Drosophila melanogaster: one gene and its partner. The protein of the gene in region 1 interacts with the protein of each later gene in a pairwise test. Each region holds a gene or a part of one and is shown in the gene's direction. Other genes may lie near its edges.

Evidence for each region.
Region 2: the proteins of Ldaf1 (region 1) and CG4770 interact in a two-hybrid assay, tested with the Drosophila melanogaster proteins (one large-scale study listed by BioGRID).

Annotation. Positions count from the first base shown.
Region 1 is NC_004354.4:1,900,199-1,903,975, reverse strand, and holds Ldaf1 (lipid droplet assembly factor 1), read left to right. Parts: upstream 1-2,064; 5' UTR 2,065-2,173; coding exon 2,174-2,263; intron 2,264-2,361; coding exon 2,362-2,539; intron 2,540-2,698; coding exon 2,699-2,911; exon of another isoform or gene 2,912-2,962; coding exon 2,963-3,210; 3' UTR 3,211-3,277; downstream 3,278-3,777. Other genes in the region: CG32801 (uncharacterized protein), read left to right, coding at 1,189-1,354, 1,514-1,824.
Region 2 is NT_033777.3:19,916,661-19,921,084, forward strand, and holds CG4770 (uncharacterized protein), read left to right. Parts: upstream 1-1,846; 5' UTR 1,847-1,871; coding exon 1,872-1,944; intron 1,945-1,999; coding exon 2,000-2,224; intron 2,225-2,288; coding exon 2,289-2,356; intron 2,357-2,418; coding exon 2,419-2,514; intron 2,515-2,574; coding exon 2,575-3,029; intron 3,030-3,091; coding exon 3,092-3,369; intron 3,370-3,423; coding exon 3,424-3,634; intron 3,635-3,790; coding exon 3,791-3,857; 3' UTR 3,858-3,924; downstream 3,925-4,424. Other genes in the region: CG4465 (uncharacterized protein), read right to left, coding at 1-330, 386-1,118.

The DNA of each region.
Region 1 (3,777 bases):
ATGTTTACCAGCGATTTTTTAAAGCTCAGTTAAGATATGATAATAGAACTTCCAAAAATATGTATAGCTAAAGAACCTTAAGTGGTCCTACTTGTGCCGACAATTAATTTAATTAGCATATGAACCCGCAACTCTTGAGGTTTTCTCAATACCTTACCAAGGCTTAAACAAATTTATATCTGTAATAATAATGGTTCGAGTGCTTGTGTGCGTGTAAACTATTTGCGATGACTGTTGTTGGCTGTATTGTAATTAAATTGATTTATTTCCGTATTTATGTATTCAATTAGATTCGATTAGGCTAAAATTTACGACGAATCGAGAGAGTTGCACAACCCGAAGCAAATGTTGAGAATCGCGGCGGCCAAGTGCCGGATGTGGTGGCCACCTGCTCCTCTGCCTCTAGATAATTTTGTGGCTGCGATTGTTTGGACACGCAAAGGCAATCGCTCGAATGGGTTTATTTTCGGATATTGCTGTTTACTTCAGGGATTTGGGTTTTGGGCTTGTACTAAATTACGCCAACGACATGAATGGAGCCAGCCCTTGGGTGCTGGAAGCAGTGATGCGAAGGTATAGTAAGCTCCTATTGTTTACAATGTAGTAGTTAGCCTTAAAATAGGCGAGATAAGTTCCAGTTCCAACCAATCGATGACTTTCGCCTTCGGTACACTTGGTTATACTTCAACCAATTCCAATCTTGAATATAACCAGTGATCCGTCTCATCACTGGCTGACGTCCTTTTACTTTCTCTTGAGCCAATCGCATACATCGCGGACAGCCCACAGCACCTGCTGGGGAAATTCGCCCGACAGGCGCCTCTGACGTTGGTGAAACTGTGATTGTGGGTCACACCACTGCCATCGACACCCCCGGGAGTTGGGAGCAGCAACTCCTTGGGCCCCGTGGGCTGCGTCGTGGGGATGCGTGTACAGTATTGGTAACGTTGCCTGCCATGCAGCAACAATAGGAAAACTTTAATGAGTACAAGTTGCTGCCAAAACGAAAAGACAGCCAGGCAGGCAGTGAGCGGCAGGCAAGGGGATTGTGGGGGGTAGGTGTCCTTGATGCAGCGCAGTCCGCAGCCAGTCAAACGAACCGAGCACGCCACGCGTTGCGGACGGATTGCCTGGATTTCCGTAAACAGAGCTCTCCTTCGGGGCTCAAAATAGTAGACGTGCAGGAGCATGAAACCGGGACTCGAAACCACCGACGAGGTCGAGGAGAATGGCGACGCACTGGATCATCGCGAGGGGGATCCCCGACCGCTGCCCTACGACTTCGAAAAGGAGCTGATCCATAGATCTAACCGGCACATCCGACTTTACGAAACCTTTGTTCCAGTGAGCCAAGGTATGCTAGAGATTTCTGGTTAGCTCGGTATATCATGTTTGAGGACAAGCTTGTTGCATCGTAGCGCTCCTGTAAAAATAAAACTTTAATCATTGAAAGTTTTACAATAGTTTACAAAATTGTTCACTACTGCTAATAATATCTTCTCCTGCCTTCCAGTTCATCCGCTAACACGGAAGTTCTACGCCCAGTATGAGCAACGCCAGCCGACGGATACCTTGAGGTACCTACGGCACACTTGGCCTGAGAAGCATGTGGAGCGTCAGAGGCAGCTCGGAAAAGCTGTTCCGCTCCTGGAGTCGCAGGTGTACGGCTGGTTGCCGCTCAAAAGTGGAGAGCGAGCCGCCGATCTGAACTTTCTGCATGCCAAGAAGGTGCGCTGCGGCATGACTGTTCACGGGGAGCGCTTGGTGGCGGAGAGGATTACGGCGCGTCCTCCGTTTAACGGACTCAGATTCCTGCTTCACTAATCCTACGGCGAAGAAATGTCGCACGCTGACCGCCATTATAAATTTATAATTTTTTTTTTAACATAGTGTTAATTTTTTTTTTGTAAACAAATTAATTATGATTAAAAAGCAAAACTAAGCCACGCTAGATCATTATTAAGAAACGCATCTTGTCTAATTCAAATTTAGTAAAAAAAAAGGTGGCAGCTCTCCCTCGATGATTTAGTTTCAGGGCTACGACGTCGATTATTTTTTGTTTATTTATATTGTTTTCATTTACTGTTGCTTCAAGCAGGCGAATGAACCTGGAACAGACTCCTCCTGTAATGCGCACAGCAACCGCCTGAGATTCTCGCAGTAGCCACGCAACATGGTGGGTACGGGTGTGAGTGAAGTGGGTGTTCCGGCATCTTCGGAAGAATCCGTAGATTTCGGCTGGAATCGGCATCGCAAGTCAAAGGTCGCGTTTCACGGACTCAGTGGCAGCCGGCATCTAATCACTTGGGTTCTTTGACTCACATAATATTCATAACTGATTTGATTTGATCGACTCTGCAGGCTCACTCGAACAAGGCTCGCAAAGCAGCCAAAGAGGCAAACGCCAAGAAGTCTGCGGGATCGGGAACAGAGAGCAAACCGGAGCACGTAAAGATACATGGCCCAGGCGATCGTAGTGCAGGAGTTCTGACTGGCGACCAGTTCCTGGAGAGCTTGCTCCAGACTCTCTACAGGTCATGTATGTCCACTAGTTGAAGTACTATCTGTAAAAGCGCTTAATTGCTTACTGCCACAATTAGTTACTTATATATGTACTACTCTGTACGGTTGTTAACCTGTTTTATGCATCACACCGCGTAACAAAAGTTGCCTTTGTTATAACGTTGCCATATTGCAGGGCTTCAAATCTGCCGCCTGGCAGATTTTGTGATGTCCGAGCTAGGTGGAAATGATTTCCTGGAGGCCACCGCGGCCTGGTGCACCCGGAATCCGCACGTTGCTATCTGCCTGCTAGCTGGTGGTCTTGTATTCATGCTGCCCTTCCTTATAATATTTGGGTTTGGAATAGCCACCATGGTTATGACCTTTACAGGTTTGCTGGTGCTAGAAGGTGCGTTCCGTAGTGTTTACCAGAGATCACGTTCTTATCGACTCGTTTTAGGCACACTCCTGACCATTGTGTCCATGGTGTTCTTCGCCTGCCTGGGAGGACTAGTCATAATGGTACCTCTCTTCGGTGTCGCCGCTGTTGCTGCCTATTTCGGATTTGCCCAGGTGTATGGCCTATGTGATGGAATAGAGATCCATAAGAGCGCGTGGGTCATGTTCTTTAGGGATCAACGGAAGGCCGGCGATCCGCCGCCAGCTGCTGTGACCATAACCGATGAACCCACTTCTACGACTGCATAAACCAATATTGCTTGCCCAACTTAAATATGTATTAAGAAATTAAAGACCAGTGTTTGAATACTTTTGGAAATTTAAAAAGTGCGCTTTCTATTTTGAAGCAAGTTGGCAGCCACCTGCGATAGAGGAGTTATCGGTTATCTGTTCTGCGCTCATATACACAGTTTTCATAGTCGGGGATTTTTGTCGAATTTAAATATCTAAGTGCGTCAAAAGTGCGTTAACCTGCCTTTGAGCAGATAAATTTACTTTCGAAGCGGTAAGTAATAGTAAAGTCATAGATATTTCTTTAATTCGTCGCCCAAAAACAATAGTTTTTGGTCGTACCTGTGTTGTCATACACCCTCATGTACACTCAGGTGCTTGTGTTGGTAAATGTTTATACAAGATAAACGGTGAGTTCGAGATAACATGATAACATGAACTAGAAATAAATTCGCCTTAGCTAAATTATAAATATTGTGAATTGAGTTTCTTAAGGATGAAATGCTATACAAATTTCGTGAGATTTTTGTGTTCTCAGAACAAAAAAAATTTGAAAAATTCCTTTGGCCTATCGCACAGGGCCCA
Region 2 (4,424 bases), on another chromosome or scaffold:
TTTCTCTCAGCTCCTCCAACTGCTGGGGTAACTCCTTGGACACTTTGTGCATTCTACCATTGGTACGGGCTGCTTCCAGCAGGATACCCACCGTTCGCTCGATGGCCAGTTGAGCTTCCTTGGTGTGTTGCAGCTGCCAGCGCGGTGAGTCCGGAGTCCAGGGTAGCAGAAAGACAATCACCAGCAAGGAAAGAGTTACGCCCAAGTATATGTGCTGCCAGCTGGGAGCATTGGAGGCCAAGCCAGGGAGCAGAATCAAGCCCAGAGCCCAGAAGCAGTCGTAAAGTATGAGGGTTCCTACGCGATATTTTCCCGCTGTTATGTCACCAACTGAAAAGTAGGTTATTTAATATTAAAGTATTCTTAAATATTCAATTTTACTTACATATATACTGCCCCGAGGTGATCATAAAACAGCACGAAACAGCAGCCAGGCATCGGAGTCCACAGTGCAGACTGAAGTCTTTGACAAGACCCATCAGTAGGCTGCACATGAGCAGGCACCAGATGCCAGTTCTATAAATCTGTCGGGGACTCAGGACCCGCATCAACTTGGTGGCCGCCACGCCACCGATTAGGAGGCCAAAGAGGTGCCAGTACTGAGACCAGGCCACAAAGAAGTCGCACAGACACACCAAATCGAACTCCATGGTCAGGGAGTGGAAACCCGTGGTGTAGAGGAACTTTCGACACTGGCGCATGGCGTAGGCGGACTCTCCGTAGTTAACCATCACATAGCAGTGGTCCAGCGAGACGGTGGAGTTGACATCCGGCCCGAAAGCCGTCGTATCACACTTGTACTCCTCCTCGGGGTACAGATCCGGCGCTGTGAACAGGATGCAGGCCATGAACCAGGCGGCTGGAATCTTGCAGAGAAATAGGATGAGCAGGGAGCGCAGTTGCCAGGGCCCAAAGTTCCCCATGATGTGTGTGATGACATCGTCATCGTTGTCATCTGCTAGATTATTTGCTTTCGGGTGTGGAGTTTGAGGAGATACCTCGTTGGCCTTCGGATCGGTGCAGGTGAAGCTATGCGCCATGTGGCCCAAGTCCAAAGGAGCAGGTGAGTTTCGGCGTATATTGGGCATCCAGCCTCGATAAAGATTATCCTTCTTCATTCTTAGTTAGCTGCCAAATTTAGTTACCACGTCTTGGGAGTGCCGACCCTCCAGCATGACTGCGACTTCGCTTAGCACCTCACCTGGGCAGGTAAACTCGAGGGCTCCGGTTTGCGGTGCCTGCCTACGACGTCGTCGCTAATCAAATCATTCCAAATAAGCGGAGCAACGTTCCTAACCGATTGTGCAAACATTTTGGCCGACAAGTTGCGATCTATTTTCGCGGCGATCTTACGGATTTATGGGAGGATCTAGCCGGGGAATCCGATCGCGGTGGCGGGCAATTGACATGATTGAAGCTAATGAATTGGACAGGTAAACAACATCGGAATTCGAACTGATTGGAAAGCTTCGCAGCTGTGGATACATTTAATTTAATGGTATCGCCATATTTTATATAATAGATATAATACTTATCTACTCCGGAGTTTTCAAGTTCATGGCTTTTGAATTATTGAAAATGGCCTAGAACTCTTAGCCAATGGTATGGACTCCCACTTCATGACTTCTTCAATGATCATTAACGAAGGTCTAGTGTTGTCCACATCCCCATCGAAATATGATGTAATATGTTTGTGCTCAAATGTTACGTCTGAGTTGCTATTTTCGTTGGCCAATTGCATGTTCCACTTGCATTTTCACGAAAAACTTGTTTCGGGAGGACCAAGGCATTTCTTTTGCCAAGCCAGTTAGGCGTTGAAAGTGAGTAGCTCACCGGATCAGTAGCTATCGTGGCTTCAAAGTGGCCACACCATGGACAACGCCGAAGTGAGTACTGTGGAGCACCAGACGGATATTTACCAAGATGCTGTGGTCTTCATAACGGGTAATACAGACGCGATCTCCAAAAGAGACTGTTCAAAGATGGTTAACTTTAATAGGAGCAACTGGCTTTGTGGGCAAGTCGCTGCTGGAGAAGCTGCTCTGGAGTTTTCCGCAGATCAAGCGGATCTACATGCTCATCCGACCTAAGGGCGGAGTCACAGTAGAGGAACGATTTCGCGGATTCCTTCAGAATCCCATTTTCGAACGCATAAAATCGGAGCATCCAACGCAGCTGAAGAAAATCTTTCACTTCTCTGGCAACATTGAGGACGACAACTTAGGTATGGCTTTTCAGAGAAACTTTAAATGAAAACTCATGACTTCACCAGACTTTTCCACCAACAGGTTTAAATGAGTCCGACAGATCGGTGTTGTGTGCCGAGGTCAACATTATTTTCCACAGTGCAGCAACAGTGAGTCCGAGGGGGATTCCCCAAGATTTTTCACACTGATTGTTTGATTCATCAAATTCCAGGTACGATTCAATGAGTGTCTAAAAGTGTCGGCTCGCGTAAATTCACAGGCCACCTACAATCTTCTAGAGCTCTGCAGGCAGATGCCTTATCTAAGGGTAAGGAGCTCCAGTCCGTAGAGTTTATCTTTACTGCTAAGTAATGGGTAAAATCTCTAGAGTTTTCTGTACGTCTCGACGGCCTACTGCAATCCGGGTCGCAAGTATGTTGATGAGCAAGTGTACCCCACCATGCCGCCGGTAGATTGGCGACAGTTTCTTTCTGCCACCCAGAAAATACCCGACGACTATCTGAATCGCCTGGCCGATTATATAAAGGGTCCGCATGTCAACACCTACACCTTCACCAAATCCATTGCCGAGCAGATTGTTAATGCATACAAGGATGTGATTCCCATAGTGATAGTGAGGCCTTCGATAGTCACTGCTGCGTACAGGGAGCCCTATCCCGGATGGATTGACAATATCCAGGCCATCAGCGGTATTATGATGGAAATTGGCAAGGGCGGCATCAGCAGCATCCTAGGGAACAAGGATCTTATATGTGACATCATCCCAGTGGACTTTGTGGTCAATGCCATGATCATGATGGTCGGCAAGGCGAAATTGGGAAGGTAAGTGGATAATAAATACTCCTTATACTTATCATGTTAGTTCTCATGCTGATATTCCAAAGCTTGAGCATCTGTAACGCCACTTCCGGAGTGACCAATCCCATCACCTGGCAGCATCTTGGCGAGCTAACAATGAAGTGGTCTCGTATCTATCCCACCCGGCGGATGATTATGTTTCCCAACTTCAAGTATAGGTGCAGTGCTTTTAACCACGAGTTGGCTGTATGGGTTCTTCACTTTGTGCCCGCCTTGCTAATGGATCTGCAAACCCTGCTGTTGGCCCAAAAGAAGCGACTGGTGACACCAATTGCCAAGAAATTCCGACAGGCTTGCCTAGCAGGTATCTTTATGAAACATCTTTAGCAAATGCAATCGTTCATTGAACTGCCCACAGGTAGCTTTTTTTCGCTGAACGAGTGGATCTTCAAGAACAAGAGCCGTTTCTATTTCAAGGAAATGATTGAGAATGGTACATATCCCACTCTCTACTGGAATCTGGAGGAGATGGACTATGACGAGTATGTGCGGCGTCACATGATTGGGATCAACAAGTACCTGCACCGCGAGAAGTTCACCGTTGACTCAAACAAGTTTATGGTGACCAGGTGAGTCGTTCGTTTATTATTTCCGTCTTAGTATCCAGCTCAGAATAGGATTGTTGTTCAAATTTTCCTTTTATGGGGATAAGGAGAGTCCCGTTCCATATTGTAAAGCATCTTTGGACTCAAAAAAATTACATTAAAGTATTTAATTTCTTACAGGATTTATTGGTTCTGGATATTTCTGCATTTGATGTTCTACATGATGCTTGTCTATATTTCATTTTAGTCAAGTAGATTTTGAGTGTTTAGCGATAAGCAGGTAAATTAATAATGAGTGTAAAAGGAGTTGTTTTAAATATTTATTTATAATATAAGTTCCAGTCTCACTAGTTCTCTTTTATGCGCTTAGATTTTGAGTATAACTTTCTTTTTAATGGTCAAATGCCATCCATAAGAGCGGAATCACTATTTAAGATCTTGCCCATCTCATTGTATAAATCGTTCCCTGACTGGTGGCTTCTCCGACACCCGCTAACACAAAGTATACACCATAGGCAGTGTATAATCTGTTCTAGCGGGAGTCGGTGAAGGCACCTGTCAGGGAAACGATTTATACAATGAGGTGATCAAGGATTGTGTTCTCGTAATGGGGTCAAAGTTTCTCGCCATTGGTTAGCAATGAACTTCTTTGGTCACTCAGCAGCATACCGCCACCTTAAGGGAATCCATTTCATCATATGTTCCGTGATGATTCGAATTATGTATATTCTTGCTCATTGGGATGCTGCAGGATGCCGTCCATTCGCCTGGGGTTGTCGATGTCTTCCCATAGTTCTCATTGGTTCCAATATTC